Linked DNA regions of Elephas maximus indicus. The protein of the gene in region 1 interacts with the protein of each later gene in a pairwise test. Links are inferred from orthologs where the notes say so. Each region holds a gene or a part of one and is shown in the gene's direction. Other genes may lie near its edges.

Region 1 (6,949 bases):
GCTCCTTAGAAATACTATGGGGTAGTTCTGCTCTGTCCTATACTGTAGGGTTGCTATGAGTCAGAATCAACTCCATGGCAGCAGGTTTGGTTTTTTACTTTTTGGTAAAGTGCTTTTAGCTGTATAAAGTGATATTGCAAGTAACTAAACTTAAGCTAACATATGACTGTTGCTGGGCATAATTATTAGTATGAATATGGAGTTTTTAGAGGGAAACTTTAAGTACTCTAAGCACTAAGAGAATAGAGTTGCCAAAATTAGCAGCAATGATGCAGTATCCCCCTGAAATATCATGAACAGAGGTACCCTACAGAGCAACATACTCCCACTCAGGAAACAAACTGCCACAGGACTCCAGTGACAGTGTGAGGAATAGGAAGGTTAACTAGCTGGGGGGAGTCTGACAGGGACCCTCGGAGACAGAGAGGAGCAGCCTAGCATGCCCCCTCTCTACCCTATTTAAAGACTTTCAAATATAGTGAAAAGATTTTATAGAATTCTCACAGGGCGTAGAGACCAAGTGGTATGACCCAGAAAGAGCTTCCCTAGGAACAAACCATGCATTGATGAGGTAGAATTTGCTTCAGTAAAAACCAAGTCCATAAATCCTGTCACAATATCTTGTCATTTTATAGCTTTATTAAAGATTAGTTTCAAGTACACATTCACTATTCAATTGTAAGCTGAATGGGAGGGCATGGTGCAGGGAGAGGAGGAGATTGAAACCCTCTCTACAGAATTGTTCCTCTCTTTTGAGAATGAGGACAGGATATGGAATTTTCAACATAAACCCCATGTCATTTAAGTCCGAAATTCCTGTTACACTCTGTTCCTAAAAGTTCTGTCTGTCAGACTGCCTTAGATGCCAGTCTTATTTTTTGTTGCTGTTTAATTGCGAGGGTTCATAACACCGTCTTCCATGAAAGATGGTTAGCTGGCAGAGTTCTTCCTTGATTTCTGAGACTGGTGTGGGTTGATTCCTGACAGTGGGAGGATACCTGGGAAGTGTTACGGAGACTGTGTATTTAAAAATTCTGTACTCTTTGGAAGTGGCAGCTGTTTATACCAGTTAAAGTGTATGCTGCTAAAGGGCTTGCAGATGAGGTCTAAACTTAGTCTTAACATGAACCCACTGTGACCCATCAGAATTTTCTAGTACCTCTAGTTCTCATATGGATGTATTAGTGCTTCAGGAATGTTCAATACTGGGCAAGAGATACTCAGAAATTCAGGCCATGATGGGTCAGATTAAGTTAGTTTAGTGAGCTATCCAGAGCTTTCAGTCTCAGGGTTTACAGGAAGGACCCCTTCAGGACTTCACATAACTCTTGTGCTGAAAGTCTCCCTAGACCCTTACATGAGTATTACAATGGGGCTTAGTGGGCGCATTTCACACTGGAAATAGTTTCTGGCAACATACTCCCAAATGTTAGTTCTAGATAAGAACAAGTACTTTTGTTTTTACAATTTTTTGTCATTTATGTATTTCATCATCAAATACATTAATTTTATTAATATATTGAGGACCTGCAAGAAATACATAAACACTATCTGAAACCACTAAGTAGTTATTTTTGGATAGTTTAAAAATGAAGCTAATCTGTCTGCTTCCTGCAGTCAGAAATTCTCAGCTAGAATGGATCTTACATAATTAGGTGATTCTGTCATTTTCTAGAGAAGGAAACACGTTCGTAGTTTAACATGACTTGTCTAACACACACAGCCAGTTAGTAACAGAATTTTGAGTAGAATAGTTTTTTTCCCCTCAGTTCATTGTTCTACTTCTTTTCCCTTTTCCCTGTATTTGAACAGCATTTGCCAAAATATATGTTCCTTATAGCAGTTGTTCTAAGGGATGTTAATAGATGTTGTAAGAGGGGGAAAAAATGTTGGAAGGGGAAGGGACTTTATGGTTTATTAAAATTGAGGAATGCTGAATTTGCTTCCTTTCTATAGGACCTCTAAGAGGTTTTAACTTACTGTTACCAGAACCAAACTCATTACTGTGGAGTCAGTTCTGACTCATAGCAACCCTATAGGACAGAGTAGAACTGCCCAGTAGGGTTTCCAAGGAGCGACAGGTGGAGTCAAACTGCTGACCTTTTGGTTAGCAGCCAATCTCTTGACCACTGTGCCACTAGGGCTCTGGGATGTACTATTACATGCCATGAATTTATAAGAGGGTTTGAAGACTGTGTTTACTAGACTTGCCCCCCTCCTTCTTTATTCAGAGAATCTCAAAGGATTGGTCCTTTAAGAAACACGGCTGTAGAGCAAGTTTACAGCCCTTTAGAAGACATCCTGATGAAAACACTGAATAGTAAATCGTTACCATGGTACCAGGTAATAAATCTCAAAGTTTAGTGAGATACTAGAGAGCGAGAAAATTTACATTTCAGAGCTATACTTAAAGTATAGAGATTCTTCTCCACCTATGGTGTGTAAAATCAGTATTTATGCTTAGTTTTGCAAGTTTGTAAAGAATCAGTTAATGTGCAGATACAGTGGTGATCTGTTGCTATTACATTTTAGTGATGCTTTTGTATGGCACTTTAGAGTTTTCAGATCCCTTTTCATAACAACCCTGTGAGGCAGGTGTTAAGTATTATCCTCATTGTACAGATGAGGCACTGGAGACTCAGAAAGGTTTGTTGAATTTCCCCTAACTTTATACCATAAAACGGTGGAGTCAGAATTTCAGTTACAGGACTTCTGACTCCAAGTCCAGCGTTCTTTCCTCCACACCTGGTTTCGTTTCTTTTTTTGTTTCTAGCTTTGTATTGTACAATGGAAGGTGCGGAAGTAAATCTTAAAGTAACGTTTTGGCTTATTATTGAAATACCATTTCTATTGCAGTGACCAGGAAAATAACTCATTGTAGCTAATCCAAAGAAGACCCTTCTTTTGTCCTTTGTAGTGCCACTTGTTGAGGTGACTAAAGTGTTCTTGGAAATATTGTTTAATTTTGAGGTCAGGATTTGATATATCTAGTTGTAATTGCTAATGTAACCTTTTGAAAATGTATCAACTCAGCATTCTCAGGCAAAGTAAAGATGGTTTGAAAGTAAAAAGAGTACTCAAATACAACAGTAAATATTCTTTATTCTCACATAAATGCTGTTTCTCAGCTTTAACCTGCTTTGACAACCTACTGATGTAACTTTTGTAAATGTAAAATGTTTATATTTTGAAATAAAATTAATAGTGTTCAATGAATCTGGTGGTAAACTTAGTCTTATTTCTGTTGAGATAAAGAGTGAAGCCAAACTTTAATGAAGATGTCCATCTGTCTCTTAGGCCTTGTGTCTTGCCTTTTACTTAGGCTACAGTGAAGTTTTTTTGAAATATGGTCAGTTTAAGTAAGGGAAGCTGTATTTGAGGAGTGGGTGCCTGAAGGGTGTCCAAGGCTGAGGCCGTAAGTTATGACTCTATTCAATATAGGACTTTCACAGAGGAAAAATAACTGCTGTGCATAACACTGGTGAACAAACCTGAAGAGCCTATAAAGCGAAGTAATATCAGAAGCACGTTTCAGCAGTGCTTGGGAAAGACCTTTCAGATACCTGGAGTTGGTAGTATCAGTCTGACATTGTGAATGGAGAAATGATCCTGGCTAAGGTGGAGGGTGAACTATAACTAGCAGTTACCCTCCTCTAGTCGATTATGGTTCATGGTGACCCCATGTGTGAGAACTGTGCTCCTCAGGGTTTTCAGTGGCTGTGATCCTTCCCAAGTAGTTCCCTACTCTAGCCGTGGAGAGCGGCCAGGAACCCACCCAGGTCTCCTGAGGAGAGGAGGAGGTGGGGCAGGCAACGGAGTCAGAAGTGGGGGGCTGGGCGGGGCTGCGGAGAGCGGAGCTGCCCTGGAGCGCGTAGGCCATGAAGGCGGGGCAGAGGCGGAGGCGGAGGCGGAGGCGGAGGCTGGGCGGTGCTGGGCGGGGGCGGGGCCTCGGGCGGTGCGGTTGCGCTGCTGCTGTTGCTGCCGCGGGCTGGTGGGCCGGCGGACAGCGGGCCCGCAGCGGCGCGGAGTGTGGGCTTAGGCACCGGCGGAGGGCCATGGCTGCCTCTCCGGGCCCCGCTGGCGTTGGCGGCGCCGGAACATTCCACGGCTCCAGCCCGTCGGGCTTCGCCTTCGACTCCGGACTCGAGATCAAAACTCGCTCGGTGGAGCAGACGCTGCTCCCGCTAGTTTCTCAGGTAAAGTGGCGCCCAGCGCAGCCCTTCGTCTCCCTCCAGCTGCGGCTCGCGATGGCGGCGGCCTCCAGCTCGGCCGGGGCCCGGCCGGCCCGGGAGGACTGCGCCGTCGGTGTCGGACGGCCTGGCTGGGCTTAGGGACGGGCCTGGCTCAGGCGCCGGGAATCGGGGCAATCTGAAATGCAGCGGCCAGGCCAGAGTGGGGCTGAGCGGCAGGGAGGCTGCGGGACGGCGGCGGCTGGGCCGGCTCGGCGGAGCCCGGCTCGGACTCGGGTGCCTGGCCCGGCAGGTGCGCTGCCCGGTCTGCCCCCAGGACTGGCTTCGGGCTTGCGGCCGCAGGCGGCCCCCGGCTGAGCGAGGCCGCCTCCGCTGGGACAGGCAGCCATGCCCAGTACCCGGGAGGCTGAGAAGACCTGAAGGCCCCCAGCTGTCCCGGGGCCCTCCTCGTTGCCGCTCATTAACCGACTGAGGTCAAACTTTTGCATCCCCAATCCAAACCCAGGACTGTCGGCCACTTTGGGCACTTCCTACTAGCCAGGTCCAGCGTGCTCTCCCCGAGGCCTTTGTCCCTCTCCCTTGCCTGTGTGTCGGCTCCGCCTATCTCTCCTTCACCCTGGGCCACCCTGCACCTTCTCCTTAACCTGCCAGCCCCTCCTGGTCAGCCTTGGTCAGGCGTCTTGGAAGAGAGGACTATCTGGTAGTTAACTAGGACACACACCTTTTTGCCAAATCCCACTTTGGGAGGTATGCATGATTGTATTGCTGGTCATAACAGAAGTCAAGAATCAGCTAACCGATGCTTAGTTTTAGAAAGGTTTTTGTTACTCTGAGTTGATTTATACACAGCCCGAGGGCTAGAATTCCTCGCTCAGATCTGTTGTAATGTGCCAACCACTGTGAGGAGCGAAGAATGGTGTGCCTGCAGGAACGGGTTGGCAATGTGTGACTCACAACTGATTGTAAAAATCTTTATGATTCATACCAGTATTATCAAGATTTTAGACGTAGAATGAATCTTTGAGGTTATCTGACTCTAAATTAAAAAAAGAAAAAATTCTTTCTTACAGCATCCTTAACACCTGGTCAACAGTTTTCTGCTTAAACATGTTCAATGATGGCTGGAAAGCCTGTAGCTTTGAGAAATGGCCTGTTACATACAATTCTAAATTTTCTTCTCCATCACAGCCTTGCTAGTATTTGAAGACAGCTGTCACACATGTCCCTAAACTCCTGTTATGTTGATGAAATAACCCCAATTTCTTCATCTGTGCTTATTTTAGCATGGCTAACAGTAAACGGGAAGCTCTGGTGGTATGTAGTAGTTAAGAGCTACAGCTGCTAATCAGAAGGTCAGCAGTTCAAATCCACCGGGTGCTCCTTGGAAACTCTATGGGGCAGTTCTAGTCTGTCCTTTAGGGGTCTCTATGAGTTGGAATAGACTTGATGGTAACAGATTTGGTCTTTGTTTTTTGGTAACAGTAAATGAGTATACGACACACATACACTTCTGATTGAGGTACTGACCAGTGGGAAGGAGTGCGGGGATCAGTCAGTAATGTCTGTAGTAATTGGTCCCTTCACCCCAAGAACAACAACACAACTACAACTGAAAGTGAGAAATACTGGAGCAGTTTTAAGAGACAGAGAGGGGAGAAGAGGATGGCTGAGTTCAAGTTGATAGTGTTTTGTATGCGTTTAGTTAACAATATGTATATAGTGCTCCGGAGTCCCAGAGGCACCTTGGAAGAGAGGCCTCCTGATCTAATGGAGCACAGTTGTACTCTGAACCACCTGGGGTTGGCATGAGTTGGAATTGACTGGGCAGCAGCTGGTGGTAGTGGCGATAGTACTCCATTAACTCATTCAACAATCCTACAAGGTGCCCATATGTTTATTCTCATTTTACAGATGAGGAAACTGAGGAATGAAAAAAGAATAGGGAGGTCAAATAATTTCCCTCCAGTTTTTCAACTAACCAAAAGCCAAACCCACTGTCCAGTCAATTCTGACTCATAGCAACCCTACAGGACAGAGTAGAACTGCCACATAGGATTTCCAAGGAGTGGCTGATAGATTCAAATTGCTGACCATTTGGTTAGCAGCCGAGCTCTTAACCAGTGCGCCACCAGGACTCCATCTTTCAACTAGTATGTGCGAAACTAGGATTTGAACTCAAGCAGCCTGGCTCCATAGTCACACCCAGGGACTATCCACTCTAGAAACTAGAAGCAGTGATGAGGTCACCTGTTAGGTACTACAAAGAGAGCCTGCAATGGAAAACAAGCTGGACGATTGTTGCAATCTGGAGAAATGGTAACCTTTCACAGTATTGCTGCTAAAAACGTATCAGTTCAACAGCTCTGCTGATGAGAGTTAACTAGAGGTCAATGCCAAAGGGCGAAATGCCAGGTTTTTTTTTTTTTTTTTCTGTTAAAGCCACTTGCAGGGCCACAGCTAAGGTTCTGCATCCCACACATTTTGTACTATAACCGATATTCCTAATGATTTACTATTGTTGTACGCAATCGAGTTGATTCTGACTCATAGCAATCCTATATGACAGAGTAGAACTGCCCCATAGGGTTTCCTAGGCTGTAATCTTTATGGGAGCAGATCACCAGGTCTTTTCTCCTACAGAGCTACTGGTGGGTTCAAACCGTAGACTTTTTGCTTAGCAGCCAAGCGCTTAACTGTTTCTCCACCAGGGTTCCTAATGATTTACTGTACTCAACAAGAAAAAGTGAAAATTATGCTTA
Region 2 (6,920 bases), on another chromosome or scaffold:
AAATGACAGTTTATCAATACGGGGAAAAAATTCAAATGACAGCAAATTTCTTACGAGAAACCGTGGAGACCAGATTGAAGTGACACAATATTTTTTCATGTGATGAAAGAAAAGAACTGTCAACTACCAGAAAATAGAAGAGAAGGAAATACTTCCAAATACACTTTACAAGGCCAGCAATACTCTGATACCAAAACCGGCACACCGAGAAAACCAAACCCATTCCCATATGGTTGATTCCGACTCATGGCAACCCTATAGGACAGAATAGAACTGCCGCATATGGTTTCCAAGGAGCACCTGGTGGGTTCGAACTGCCGACCTTTTGGTTAGCAGCCATAGCTCTTAACCACTGTGCCCCCAGAGTTTCCAAAACCAGCACAGTATCCCCTCCTCAAAAAAAAAAAAAGGAAAGGGAAAAGAAAAATACAGACCAATGCCCCTCATGAATGTAGGTCCAAAATCCTTAACAAAATTTGATCCATCATATTAACAGGCTAAAGAAGAACAATCACATGATCCTATGAATTGATGCAGGGAAAAAATAAAAGCATTTGACAAAATTCAGCACCTTTTCATGATAAAAACTCTCAGAAAACTAGGAATAGAAGAGGACTTCCTCAACTTGGTAAGAACACCTACAAAAAATTCCTGTAGCTAACATCATATTTAATGGTGAAAGATTGAATGCTTTCTCCCTAATACTGGGATCCTGAAAGAAATCAAAGAACTACATAAATGGAGATAGAATACCATGTTCATGGATTGGAAGACTTAACATAGTAAAGATATCAATTTTTTTTAATTTAATGAAATTCCTATCAAAATCCCAACAAGAATTTTTGTATATACAGACAAGCACCAAATTGCCTAAATCGTAATTGTCTTTTTTTTTTTTTCCTGGCCTGAGTGCCTATAAAGTAGCCCATAAACTAGCAAATAATTCAATTGGATTTAAGTAAAAAGAAAATTTTAAAAACATCTTAGAAATATATGACTTTACAGAAGGTGCAACATTTCAACAAGTATGAATCACTGTGGAGAAGGGTGGCATAAATGACCACCAAATGATTTTTCCCAAATCAATAAAGTTGTGAACTTTAAATAAATATCAGACGTGTTTCTTTCCAGACTATTATCCTGTGAAACTGCATTCATCTTAATGCTTAAAAATACCTTAAATAGTTTGTTATGGGGGGGGGGGAGAATAACCCACTCCCTTCCCGATTTCTCTAAAATAATGCTGTCTTAGCTAGAGCTGCTGTAACAGAAATACCCCAAGTGGATGGCTTTAACAAAGAGAAATTTATTCTCTCATACTCTGGTAGGCTACAAGTCCAAATTCAGGGTGTCAGTTCCAGCGGAAGGCCTTCTCTCTCCGTCACCTCTGGAGGAAGGTCCTTGTCCTCAATCTTCCCATGGTTGAGGAGCTTCTCAGGTGTAGTGACCCTAGGCCCAAAGGATGCACTCTGCTCTTGGTGCTGCTTTCTTGGTGGTATGAGGTCCCCAACTCTCTGCTTGCTTCCCTTTCCTTTTATCTCTTGAGAGATGAAAGGTGGTGCAGGCCACACCCCAGGGAAACTCCCTTTACCTTGGATCAGGGAGGTGACCTGAGTAAGGGTGGTGTTACAATCCTACCCTAATCCTCTCAACATAAAATTACAATCACAAAATGGAGGACACACAATACTGGGAATCATGGCCTAACCAAGTTGATATACACATTTTTGGGGGGACACAATTCAATCCATGACAAATGCCTTTAGGGATTTTCGTTAAGATTTTATTCCTTGTTCACTTTTAAGTTTAGCACACTTGGCTCTTCCTAGTTAATTTGTTGTTTACTTTATGATATAGGGATTACTGGTAATATTGGAATACAAGTAAGGTCTAGTCTTCATTTTACGACATGGATCATAAAACTGTAGGCTAAAGAGTAATTTAAAAGAACATGCTGATGCGATGCATTACTTTAATATAATAGAAATATGCTTTGCGTTTTTGAAAAATTATAGGTCTCTGTAAATTACTCTATAAACAATTATAACCTTATCATTTAAAATTATTTCGACATCATACACATACAGTGTATGTTTAGTTATAGATAATATTTTAATGTGCTTCTTTTTCAATTCTGTCCCCAAACATTTGTTTTATGAATGAATAAAAATGGTTGCTTATATGCATATTTAGACAACCACACTAAGGAGTGGAAATAAGGTGACCTATGGATAGGAACATTTTAAATCTGTTTTTGGCTAATGGCAATTTAAATAACCTTAAATTTAAAAATTAGGCTTTTTGTTTTACTGGCAGTCACTGATTACAAGTGAGTTTCGTTCCTAAGCCTGTCTTTAAGTCAAATTTATACCTTAAGACAGAACAGTTAGGTACAGTTGCTATCTAATTTCAGCTAGCAGATGTTTGTCAGTATATAATGTATCTTTCTATGCATAAAAAACATTAAAGAAATACTTCCAGATACACTAAAATATCTTTAACGTAATAATATAGTAATAATAATGTTTTGATGTGTGTCACAAAGTAGTACCATTTGTTATTATAAAGCATTGTAGGTACATCATAGGCTTTACAGGGCTTGGTTTGTAACTACATGTTGTACGTAAGTCAGATGTTCGTAATCCAGGGACAACCTATATAAAAGTTTTGTTGGGGAAAATGGAAATATTATTATGATGATATTCTTATCATCATAATAATATTTGATATTATTTGGTAAATATTTGATAATATTTATAATATTTGGTAAATATCTTAATATATCAATTTTTTCTATAATTTATTTCTGTGCCAAGCAATTGAATGTTTGTCATAGAAAAATGAGTGCATCGCTTTAATAATGGTACTAGAGAAACACCGGATCAACGGCAGCTAACAATAACAACAACAACAAAAAACAACACTCAAATAATTTTGGCAGGGATTAGTATAATCAAAAATAATATCTTTCAAAAAAAGTCACTAATGTTTTCTATAAATATTGCATGTACCTGTCTCATTAAACAATAATAATAAAGAAAAAGAAGCAGCTTTGTATTGGCAACGAACGATTTACAAGCATCCTGAATGACAGGTTAAAACTGTGCTCGTTTAACACAAAAGGAAACCTCTGTTGTGAGCCACTAAATAATTGATCTTTAACTTAATGTCTAAGAGAATGGTGTTTTAATAATTGTCACCAAAGAAACTGAAGAAAGAGTAATTTGTTTGTAAAGAAGTTGTATCATAACCTGCAACTGGGATTTCTTCGTTCCATTGTAAGAGTGCTCTTTATTTTAGCAGAAAACTAGTCCTGGGAGACCTACATACATTCTGCGTTCAGAGATCAGCTGCCACATTCGTCTGTTGCTTTTCTTATTCAGATTGTTGGGATCATCAATACATGGCTTTTGATTAGTTCCCAACGGTAGAAATTACCTTTTGTAGACACTGGATGTATAACAAATGCATAGATTATTCCAGGCATTTCTTTTTGTGTCAGTAGAGTGAAATTTTTAGTGTTGTTCAGAAATGGGGGCGGGAGGGGGGGGGAGACATTAAAAATCAGTTCTAGATCAGGCTATTCTGCTCTGTTATTTTATAAAACTGCATAAAAAAAAGTCACAGAAAATACTGTTACATTTTTGTAATGTGCAGTTTTTGTGTTGAGAAGTCTTGGAGAACAAGTTCTCTGTCCACTATGCTGTTCTGGTTTGGATATTAACCAGAATACAGTTGAACGTTATTTGAATTCACAGGACTTGCCATGCTGGAAGAACAACCTTATATGTAGTGTCCATGGGCAGTCCTATTATGGGAAACCAACTTGAGGGAAAGGCGGGTCACTTGCTTCTGCGCAGGTCCTGGAATTTGAAGTATCCAGAGGCCTCTACAGAATTCTGGCACCAGTCACTATGTTGACTCACTCAGTGTTGGGATCACTCACTTTTCCCCTACAGGGCTCAGATCTTGGAGGCAATTACCTTCAGAGAGAAACGGATAGGAAAACTGAAGTATTTTTTTAAGGCTCCAGAAGTTTATTGGTTTCTCATCATTCCTAAGCCTACTCGAGCAATAAAGTTGGAAGAAATTTTTACCAAGATATTTATCGCTGCCCTGATATATACTTATTTTCCAAATGCTTTGGTGGGAAGAAGTAGAGGACTGTTGTAAGTACAAAGTAACTAAAAATATCTTTTGCCATGGCTTAACATTTAGTTTGTGACAAGCTCACTGATGAGGCAAATTGATTTTAAATTAGTATAGTAGTCTGTGAATAAGCATAAATGTTGTCTTATATATACTGTACATAGCCATATATGTGAAGGTGTACATACCTCTCATTGAGAAAACTTTTCAACAGAAAGGAGGTAGAATTCAAAATGTTTTCTTTGCAAATTGCACCTAACACATCTTTCTTATTTTAAGAAGCTCCTAAAATAATAGAATAAGCATCACTGCTTTGAGTGCTTGTAACAGACCGCTTTGATTGCTGTGAAATAGTTTGTGTCTCTGAGTTATTATCCTGATGATTTTGATACTTCTGTATTTAGTAATGCTTACATGTAATATTATATATTACATGTTGGGTAGTGACCTGACATATCTTCTTCATGAACTAATTGTTGTATGGGAATGAGGTGGGGACCTCGAGGTTAGAAAATTGTATCTGGCAGATCAGAGGAGAAAAAAAATAAAGAATACAATGAATTGTAATAGAGAAATGGAGGTTGGGAAAAGTATTGATAAAGATTTAAATAGAAGCTCCCTTCTCATATTACATTTAGTATTATGAACGTTCTTTTCTGTAGCATTTCATGAGAATTCTTTCAAATGCTGATATGATCTGTATTGCCAAATGACCATGTACTCTGTTTCTTGGGAAAACAACATAAAGGTGAAGGACTTCCAATCATATTTTGCAGTAAAGTTACCAAAGTCAGTTCATTGTTTCATGTTTATGACGGCCTAGCTCTATAGTCAGGCTTTTATTTAAAATACAACATTTATGTTTATTTTTAAGGAAGTCACGATGACTTCTGCCAAATTTAGAAATTAACTACGGTGAAAATAGGATATAAAAATAATATATGGTGAGAACAGTGTGTCCCAAAGAGGTGGATGAAGGACACATCTTTTTTTTTTTCTTTTTTTCTATCTCTGACTTGTGGATTCCAGTCACTCTAAAATAGGTACAAGAGCAACACCCATAATTAAGAATGAAAAAGTAAATCTCTCTAAGTAAGTAACTCTTCACAGCTTCTGGTGAAATAGAACAGAAGTTTTACCCTTGGGAAAGATTTCTAGGAATAAATTACTATTGTTTACTGGTTTGTATTAGCTGCTCCCAGGTCTCGTAGTGGAGCATTTACTGATATTTTTACCTTATTTTAGAAATTAATTTGATGAGCATCAGTGTTGCTTTCTGACTGAAAATCATTCACTTACTACAATGACAAAAACATATAACATATATTCGTTCTTTGTGTGTGCTTTTTGTGTCTATATATGTAGCCATGCATACACATACTTTCATATACCTGTGTGTAAGCCAATTCTAAAAGAAAAGCAAAGAGACAATTCTGGAATGAAGCAAGGCCAACCTACTCTCTGTTTTGTCATAGATATTTAAATATCTTTTTAATGTCTTAATTCGAATTTAAGAAAGCTAACCTTTTGGGAACATACCCTGTACGACTTTATTATAGTGAATTTTAAAATCAGCAGGTAATGCTTATGCTACATGATAGTGGGTTTGTTAAGAGAAAATGGACACATTCACAGGGCTATATTTCACATTAAATTTTACCAGTTGACAACATACTACTATTTTGATGTATTTGCATGTGAGTCCAGTTTGAACAACAACAACAAAAAAAATGCCTTGGTTTGAAAATTCAGAAGGATACAATTACATTTCATTTGGTTATTTTTAAACCAAAATAGTTACACTTTAACAGAGGAGATCACTATATTAACAGAAATACTGTTTACTTTTGAGGATTGCTCAATAATTCATTGACAAGGATTATATGTGTAATTCTTTGCATGTGTACATTTCATTCATTTTTTTAAAATGCTGTAAATTATCTTAGAACCAGAGCCCATTGCCATGGAGTCGATTCCGACTCACAGAGACACTATAGGACAGAGTAGAGCTGCCCCATAGGGTTTCCAAGAAGCACCTGGTGGATTCGAACTGCTGATCTTTTGGTTAGCAGCCATCGCTCTTAACCACTACACCTACGTTTCCAAATTATCTTGAAGTCTAATAAAATCCTATTTTAAAATTTAATTTGCAAAGTCTTTTAAGGGCATCTTACCACTATGAAAAAGAGGTTGCTGATCTAAATAGATTGTATACTTTTTAATTTAATAAGAAGCTTTTAGTGTCTCTTACATGGCATAACATTATGAAAAATAGAGAATGTCATGTAGATATTCATCTAAACTAAAATAAAAAAAATACATAAAACACCTGCAAAGTGTTTTTTACAAATTTAACTTACGTAAGAAAAAAAAGTTATTGGTTGACACTATTCTAGCTAGACAATACTGAAATATAGATTCACGAGTTGGGCAGGGATACTTAATAGAGCTTTTTCTTTAGTCTTGAAGTGCTGTATTCATTTGAAATTCTTGCACGCTAAGCCACTTGCTACATGTGAAACAAATTGCCAAGTTCTTAACCACTTGTGTGGTTTAATAAAAGAGATTAAAATCTTTGTCGTCTTCGAAAAGTCAGGTGTTTTATTTTTAATTTTATTATATTTCTTTCATCATGGCTTTATCTCATGAGTAAAACAAAGTGATTTTCCAAACTTTCTGTCTCCTTCTACCTTGTGCTGTATTATTTCCCTAACTTAATAAAAACAATTTATCATATTTTTCATTAAACTATTCCTTATTCCATTGTAAAG
Region 3 (7,049 bases), on another chromosome or scaffold:
CTGTACGAGAGTTCCAGTTACTCTGCATCATCACTAGCACTTAGTATTGTCAGTGTGTTTTATTTCAGGCATTGTAATAGGTATGTAGTGGACGCTCATCACGATTTTAATCTGTATTTCCCTAGCGGCTAGTGATTTACATTCTTATTTTCTATCTTTGATGAAATGACTGTCCAAGTGCATTAGCCCCTTTCTTAAGCTGGTTGTTTTCTTATTGTTGAGTTTTGAGAGCTTTTTTTAAATTAATTCTGGATACTATTTTTTTGACAGATATAGGACTTGCAAACATTTTCCCCCAGCCTGTGGCTTGTCTTCTTATCCCCTGAACAGAGTCAGTGAAGCCTTCTTTAATCAAGACGTTGAGGTCAGGGTTCATGACTTTCTCTATTTTATGCAGATTTTTGTTTGGTAATAGAAATTTTTGACTTGCTGGCCTGACAGACTGGAGAAACCCTGAGAGTATGGCTCCCAGACACCCTTTCAGCTCAGTAATGAGATCACTTCTGGGGCTCACCCTTCAGCCAAAGATTAAACAGACCCCATGCAAAAGGGGTGCCCCAGCCCAGGGGCAGGGACTGGAAGGCAGGAGGGAACAGGAAAGCTGGTAATAGGGAACCCATGGTTGAGAAGGGAGAGTGTTGACATGTCGTGGAGTTGTTAACCAATGTCATACAACAATGTGTGTACTGTTTGATGAGAAACTAGTTTGTTCTGTAAACCTTCATCTAAAGTACAATTTAAAAAACAAAATAAAAAATTGGGTGTTCTGGCTTATGTTCAAAGTTTTAGATTCACCTATCGTAAAGTGGAGTGGAAGTTAGGACAATGTTCACGTAATGAACTCTTCCTTCTGCCGACAAAAAAATTCTTTGTCCCTGAAGGAATTTATTAAGAGCAAAGCAAAGAAAGCACAGATAAAACGTGTTATTTCGTGCAGTGCACACTCGATAACCTTGCCATTTCTCATCTAACTTAGCACTGGGAACCAGAATCACAGAGCTGTGTATTAACACGCTTGAATTTAAAAATGACATCACTCTCTGATAGAAATTGAGTCTGAATTGACTGACTGGTTTGACAGTGGGAACTGGCTTTGCTAATTAGGTTATATAGCAAATATTTTGCAAACGTGAATAAGCTAAAAGTACAGCTACAGATTTTTGAGGAAAATATATTTCAAGCATACAACCAGTTGAAAGCAACTATTCGAAAAAGTATATAGCAAAGGCATGTTGAAAATGCTAATTTCACCAGCTTTTTCTGAGTATATCAGGTTAAACAAGGTGACTCCTACTAAAAGAGTGACTGGTATAATTGATAGTTATTTGATAAACTTTAATAAAGTCTTTTTTGGCATGCTTCCCAGAAAATCAGAAACAGAATACCTTTGACTTTTGCAACACAGGTGGTTTCAAATTCCTTGCTTTCAGCCAAAAAAAAAAAAAAAGGAAAATCAAATTGTCAGCTGAGAGATAATTAAAAATAACTTTTACGATAGATCATGATGTGATATTTTACAATTTATCTCAGAACTGTTCAACCAAATGTGTGACATTGTTACCATTTATTAAAGTACGTAAACAAGGATTGTCAGAACTAACGTTTATTTAAAACAAACCCGTTGCCATGGGGCTGATTCCAACTCATAGCAACTCTACAGGACAGAGTAGAACTGCCTTATAGAGTTTCCAGGAGTGGCTGGTGGATTTGAACTGCCAACCTTTTGATTAGCAGCCAAGCTCTTAACCACTGCACCACCAGAGCTCCTGAAAGCAGAGAAAACCAGAAAGATGTTTACCTGTGTTTCACTGACTATGCAAAGACATTCGACAATGTGGATCATAACAAATTATGGATCACATTGCAAAGAATGGGAATACCAGAACACTTAATTGCACTCATGAGGAACCTGTACATACATCAAGAGGCCATCATTCGAACATAACAAGGGGATACTACGTGGTTTGAAGTCAGGGTTGTGTCCTTTTACCATACTTATGCAATCTATATGCTGAGCAAATAAATTGAGAAGCTGGACTCTAAGAAGAAGAACAACGGGGCATCAGGATTGAAGGAAGACTCATTAACAATCTGTGATATGCATATGACACAGCCTTGCTTGCTGAAAGTGAAGAGACTTGAAGCACTTACTGATGAAGATCAAAGACCACAGCCTTCGGTATGGATTACACCGCAACATAAAGAAAACAAAAATCCTTTTTTTTTTTTTGTAACCATTATATGTTTTTGCATAAAACCTTTAGGAGGTGCCCAAGAAAAAAAAAGTTTGAAGACAACTGGTTAACCAACTCTTTCAAAGAACCCTGGCTGTGAAATGGAGAAGTAGTAGCTAAAGGGAGGTTTAGATCAAAGAAAATTTCTTTTTTATTTATTTTGTTGTTGAGAACATACATAGTAAAAATTACACCAATTCAACAGTTTCACATTGATTACATTCTTCAAGTTGTGCAATCATTCTCACCCTCCTTTTCTGAGTTATTCCTCCCCCATTAAAATAACTTCACTGCCCTCTAAGGTTCCTATCTAATTTTTCAAGTTGCTGTTGTCAATTTGACCCCATATAGATAGTCCTTAAAAGAGTATAAGGCTCAAGGCAGACATTTTTTACTAGTTAAGCTAAACTATTGTTTGGTTTTAAGACTTCTGGGGATATTTTTGGTTTAAGGCTTAAAGACTATCTCAGGGCAATAGCTTCAGCAGTTCATCCAACCTTCATGGCTCCAGGAAACCTGGAATCCATGAGAATTTGAAATTCTGTTTTGCATTCCCCCTCCCCAACTTTTTAAAATTGTGCTTTAGGTGAAAGTTTACAGCTCAAGTTAGTTTCTTATTCAAAAAATCTATACACATATTGTTCTGTAACATTGATTGCAATCCGCACAATGTGACAACACTCTTCGTTCCACCCTGGGTTCCTCCTGTCCATTTGTCCTGTTTTCCTGTCCCTTCTTGCCTTCTTGTCTTGCTTTTGGGCAGTAGTTGCCCATTTGGTCTCATATATTTGATTGAACTAAGAAGTATATTCCTCACATATGTTATTGTTTGTTTTACAATCCTGCCTAATCTTTGTCTTTATCCATAATTTGTTATGATCCACACCGTCGAATGTCTTTGCATAGTCAATAAAACACAGGTAAACATTTTTTCTGGTATTCTCTGCTTTCAGCCAAGATCCATATGACATCAGTGATGATATCCTTCCTTCCACATCCTCTTCTGAATCTGGCTTGAATTTCTGGCAGTTCCCTGTGATGTACTACCCAACCGTTTCTGAATTACCTTCAGCAAAATGTTACTTGTGTGTGATATTAATAAACCCCCACCAAATATTAATAGCGATTAAAAAAACAAACAAAAAAACCATGCTGGTGCTCCACCTCAGACAATGAAATCAGACTCTCTGGGGTCGGGTGCAAACTTTGGTATTTTTAAAGAGCTTCCTAGCTAATGGGTACCGGGTAATTCTTATTTCCTCACCACTTGCTAGAGGGGTTAGATGTCACCTAATGGGCGCATTCTCGTAAGTGAGCTGTTGAATCGAATCCTCTCTTTTTCCTTCTCCCAAAAGTTGTCCAGGTTATGTCTTAATGGGGACATCAAACTATAGGGAGCCTTTGAGACATCAGTGAGTTCCTAGCGATTTGGGGATCAGCTGATTCTCCAGTACGGGAGGCAGTAACTTAGGGCCGGCTCAACGCATGAGACGCTGCGAGCTGGGCAGTGGAGAAACTAAGCCAGCTTTCGGGGAGACTGGACAGAAGGAGAATCCCCGGGTGGTGCAAACGGTTAAGCGCTCTACTAATGTTTGAACCCACCTAGAGGCGCCTCGGAAGACAAGCCTGGCGATCTGCTTCTGAAAGGTCACGGCCTTGGAAACCCTACGGAAGGTAGTTCTCTGCATACAAGAGGTCGCCAGGAGTCAAAATCGACTCAAGGGCCACTTTTTTTTCTTTTTTGGAGAGAAGAAAAGTGGAGGATGGGAGAGAGGAGGGGACCAGGCAGCAGGAAGGCTGGAGGCGGGAGAGGAAGAGCGGGGGAGGAGCCAGAGGAGAAGTGGCGGAGGGCGGCCGGTCCCCAGCTGGGCCTTGACTTCCGCGCCCCCGCGCCTGGCCGCCGTCACCATGGCGGGCTTGGACTCCGGCCCGGCCATCCCGGTGTGGCTGAACGAGGACGACCTGGGCTGCATCATCTGCCGCGGGCTGCTCGACTGCCCCGTTACGCTGCCCTGCGGCCACAGCTTCTGCAGCTCCTGCCTGAAGAGCCTGTGGGGCTCCTGGGCCGAGAAGCCGCGCTGGGCCTGCCCCACCTGCCGCGAGGGCGCCCCGCAGAAGCCGCCGCTGCGGAAGAACACGCTGCTGCAGGACCTGGCCGACAAGTACAGCCGGGCGGTGCGCGAGCTGGAGGAGGGCGGCCGCGGGGCTGGCCCCGAGCTCGCGCCCGGCCCGGCCCCGGCCTCCCGGCGCCGCCCTGCAGCCCTGCCGGTAGGGAGGCGGCCCTGGGGGCTCTCCTGGCCCGCAGCCTGCCGCGCCGCCTTCCGCCTTCCTCCTCCCAGCGCCCCTTCCCACTCTCCCCTTTCGGCTCTTCTTCCCTCCAACATCCTTATCCTTTCTATGTTTACGTTAACTTTCTCAGTCTAAAGGTAGAACCCGCTCTTTGGCGAATCTTTGGAAAGTTCGGAAAAGTAGAACCGACTGTCAACCTAGCTGCTGTACACCTGGCCTTACTTCCATTTCTTTTCAGCTTTTCCGCGCCCTTTTCAAACAGAGTTGAGACTACATTGTACATCTTCCTTTTGGGTATAAACACGGAATTATCCCTCGGGTCCTTAAAACTCTTCGTGAACATAGCTTTTGGTGACTGAATACGCTTCACATTGGCTTTTAAATTGAAGTGATTTTCTTTGACTGGCAGGACATGGGAGGATGTAAAAACATATTTTCTTTATTAATTCTCTGTGTTTTTCAAATTCAGTACAATGAGTGTACGTTTCTTTTATGATGTAAAAAGTAATGCACTTATTTTTTTAATGTTTTGAATTAGCTCAGGTGCCTGGATAAGGGCTCCACTCCAGAGTTCCAGGTACCTGAAAACTGGGGCTTGGAAACTTAAGAGCGAGCAGTGTTACCGGTGGCCTGTCACCTCCCTCTGTAAAATAGCCTGAGTCTGGGTTCCAAACATGTTATCTGAGAGGACATCTAGGCTTCTTAGAGATGAAAAAAGGTTCTGGGTCAAAGATTTTTGAAGTTCCGACATGATTTTTTTAAAAAGGAAAATGCCCAAAGTTAAACAAAAAACCTGGTCTATTTAGAGTTGGATGATGAACATCTTGTATTTCTGTGACTCTACAGCGGACCACCGTTTTCCATTTAAGGTCTGGGTCCAGCCTTCCGTGGATGTCACCAGGTCTTGATGGCGTTGTCAGTATGTGTTGGCTGCAAACTTGCTCCCACCCCAACCAGACAGCTCAGCAGAATAAGCTCTTTGGCGTGGAGTTGTTTAGCACTCTCATCTGAATTTTTTTTTAATGTGAAGGATGTCAAAAAGAGCTCGTATCTGCGTAATACTTTAAAGTCTCCAAGATATTTTTACAATGGATGGTTAGGTAGATCCTTCTTACTCCTGAAGGTGGGGGGGGGGGGGGAGTTGAGGTCACAGGATGAGCCATAGCCAAGAGTCCAGCTCAGACCTGAGCCTTGTGCCTTCTGCTTCACCACTCACCTTCTCAGCCTCCATCTACCCCTGCCAAATCCAGGCTCTCTCACCCCATTTCCCCTCTGACTTCCCCTGCATAAAGCAACCCACAAGTTTCCTTTCACACTTCACTCCCATCCCCATCCCATGGATGAACTAGGGTTCCCTGTTATGGCCACTGGGAGATCAGTAGTGGGAAACGGGAATGAGCAAGGTCTACCTGCTCATTTTCTGGACAATAGTTAGTTCTTTCATCCCTTCCTTGCCTACTTCCTTTACCCAGTGTTTATGGCTGCCACTGTCCAGTGCTGGATGCTGGGTCCAGCTTTATGTTCTATCTTTGCTCTTTTAAAGGCAGCAGCACAGAGGAGCATCACAGAAGTTGGTCGGGAGCTGGGAGAGCTGGTGGAGCAGCTTGTAGACATCACCAGGAGCCTTCAGAATCAGAGATCCCTCTCACAATCTGAGGCAGACAATGAACTGACCATCTTGGGCACGGTATGGTTAGCTTGGAGAGGAAAAGATTGCGAGGGGGATGAGCAAAGGGTGCCTTCCAACTGGGACAACATGAATATATTTTGAGTTGAGGGATGCAATACATCTCAATCTTTCATTGTCCTCTTTATTACCAAAGACAGATGATCAGAATCGTGGAGTACTTGAAGTGAGGTCCAGAAGCTTTGAGCTAGATTCTACCTCATCACTGCACCTAACCAAGCTCTAAGATCACCAGTGACCTCCAAGTAAATCCTGCAGACACTCTGATTCTTGACCTCTCAGCAGCCTTCAACACAATTGATTGCACCTTTCTTCTTGAAGCATTCTCTTCCCTTAACTTCCAAAACACAAGCTTCCCAGTCCTCCCTCCAGCTCCACCTGCTCCTTCTCAGTCTATTTTGCAGGCTTACCCTTTCTGCTCAGCACTGAAATGCTGGAATTCTTCAAGGCTTAGTTGTAGGTTCCTTTCTCTTCCCCTGAAGTGGTCTTCCCACACCCATGGTTTTAATTACCACTGTATGCACAAACACTTCCATCCTGGATCCTTCTCTAAGGTCTAGGCTGGTACCTTCCTTCTCATCTTTTCCTTTTGAGTATCTCAAAGGCACATTACACTTAACGTGTCCCAAACTGTTCCTCCTCTGGGACTCCCCATCTCAGTGACTGGCCCCATTATCCTTCCAAGTGCACAAGACAGAAACCTGGGAGCCATTCGTGTCACCCCCACCCTTACCCCCAATATGTAGCCTACTGTAGCTCCAAGAGGAAACCCTGGTGGTGTAGTGGTTAAGTGCTACAGCTGCTAACCAAAAGGTCGGCAGTTCGAATCCTCCAGGTGC

What was found.
Region 2: the proteins of CTNNAL1 (region 1) and DMD interact in binary tests that used the Homo sapiens proteins (3 or more experiments, as listed by UniProt). The two-hybrid records come from large-scale screens. The link is inferred for Elephas maximus indicus from reciprocal best matches to the Homo sapiens genes CTNNAL1 and DMD.
Region 3: the proteins of CTNNAL1 (region 1) and RNF135 interact in binary tests that used the Homo sapiens proteins (3 or more experiments, as listed by UniProt). The two-hybrid records come from large-scale screens. The link is inferred for Elephas maximus indicus from reciprocal best matches to the Homo sapiens genes CTNNAL1 and RNF135.

Annotation. Positions count from the first base shown.
Region 1 is NC_064827.1:58,455,105-58,462,053, reverse strand, and holds the start of CTNNAL1 (alpha-catulin), read left to right. Parts: upstream 1-3,945; 5' UTR 3,946-4,055; coding exon 4,056-4,196; intron 4,197-6,949. UniProt on the Homo sapiens protein: May modulate the Rho pathway signaling by providing a scaffold for the Lbc Rho guanine nucleotide exchange factor (ARHGEF1).
Region 2 is NC_064846.1:143,367,321-143,374,240, forward strand, and holds the start of DMD (dystrophin), read left to right. Parts: upstream 1-3,912; 5' UTR 3,913-4,138; coding exon of another isoform or gene 4,139-4,169; intron 4,170-6,920. UniProt on the Homo sapiens protein: Anchors the extracellular matrix to the cytoskeleton via F-actin. Ligand for dystroglycan.
Region 3 is NC_064837.1:26,813,720-26,820,768, forward strand, and holds the start of RNF135 (E3 ubiquitin-protein ligase RNF135), read left to right. Parts: upstream 1-4,041; 5' UTR 4,042-4,142; coding exon 4,143-4,502; intron 4,503-6,066; coding exon 6,067-6,210; intron 6,211-7,049.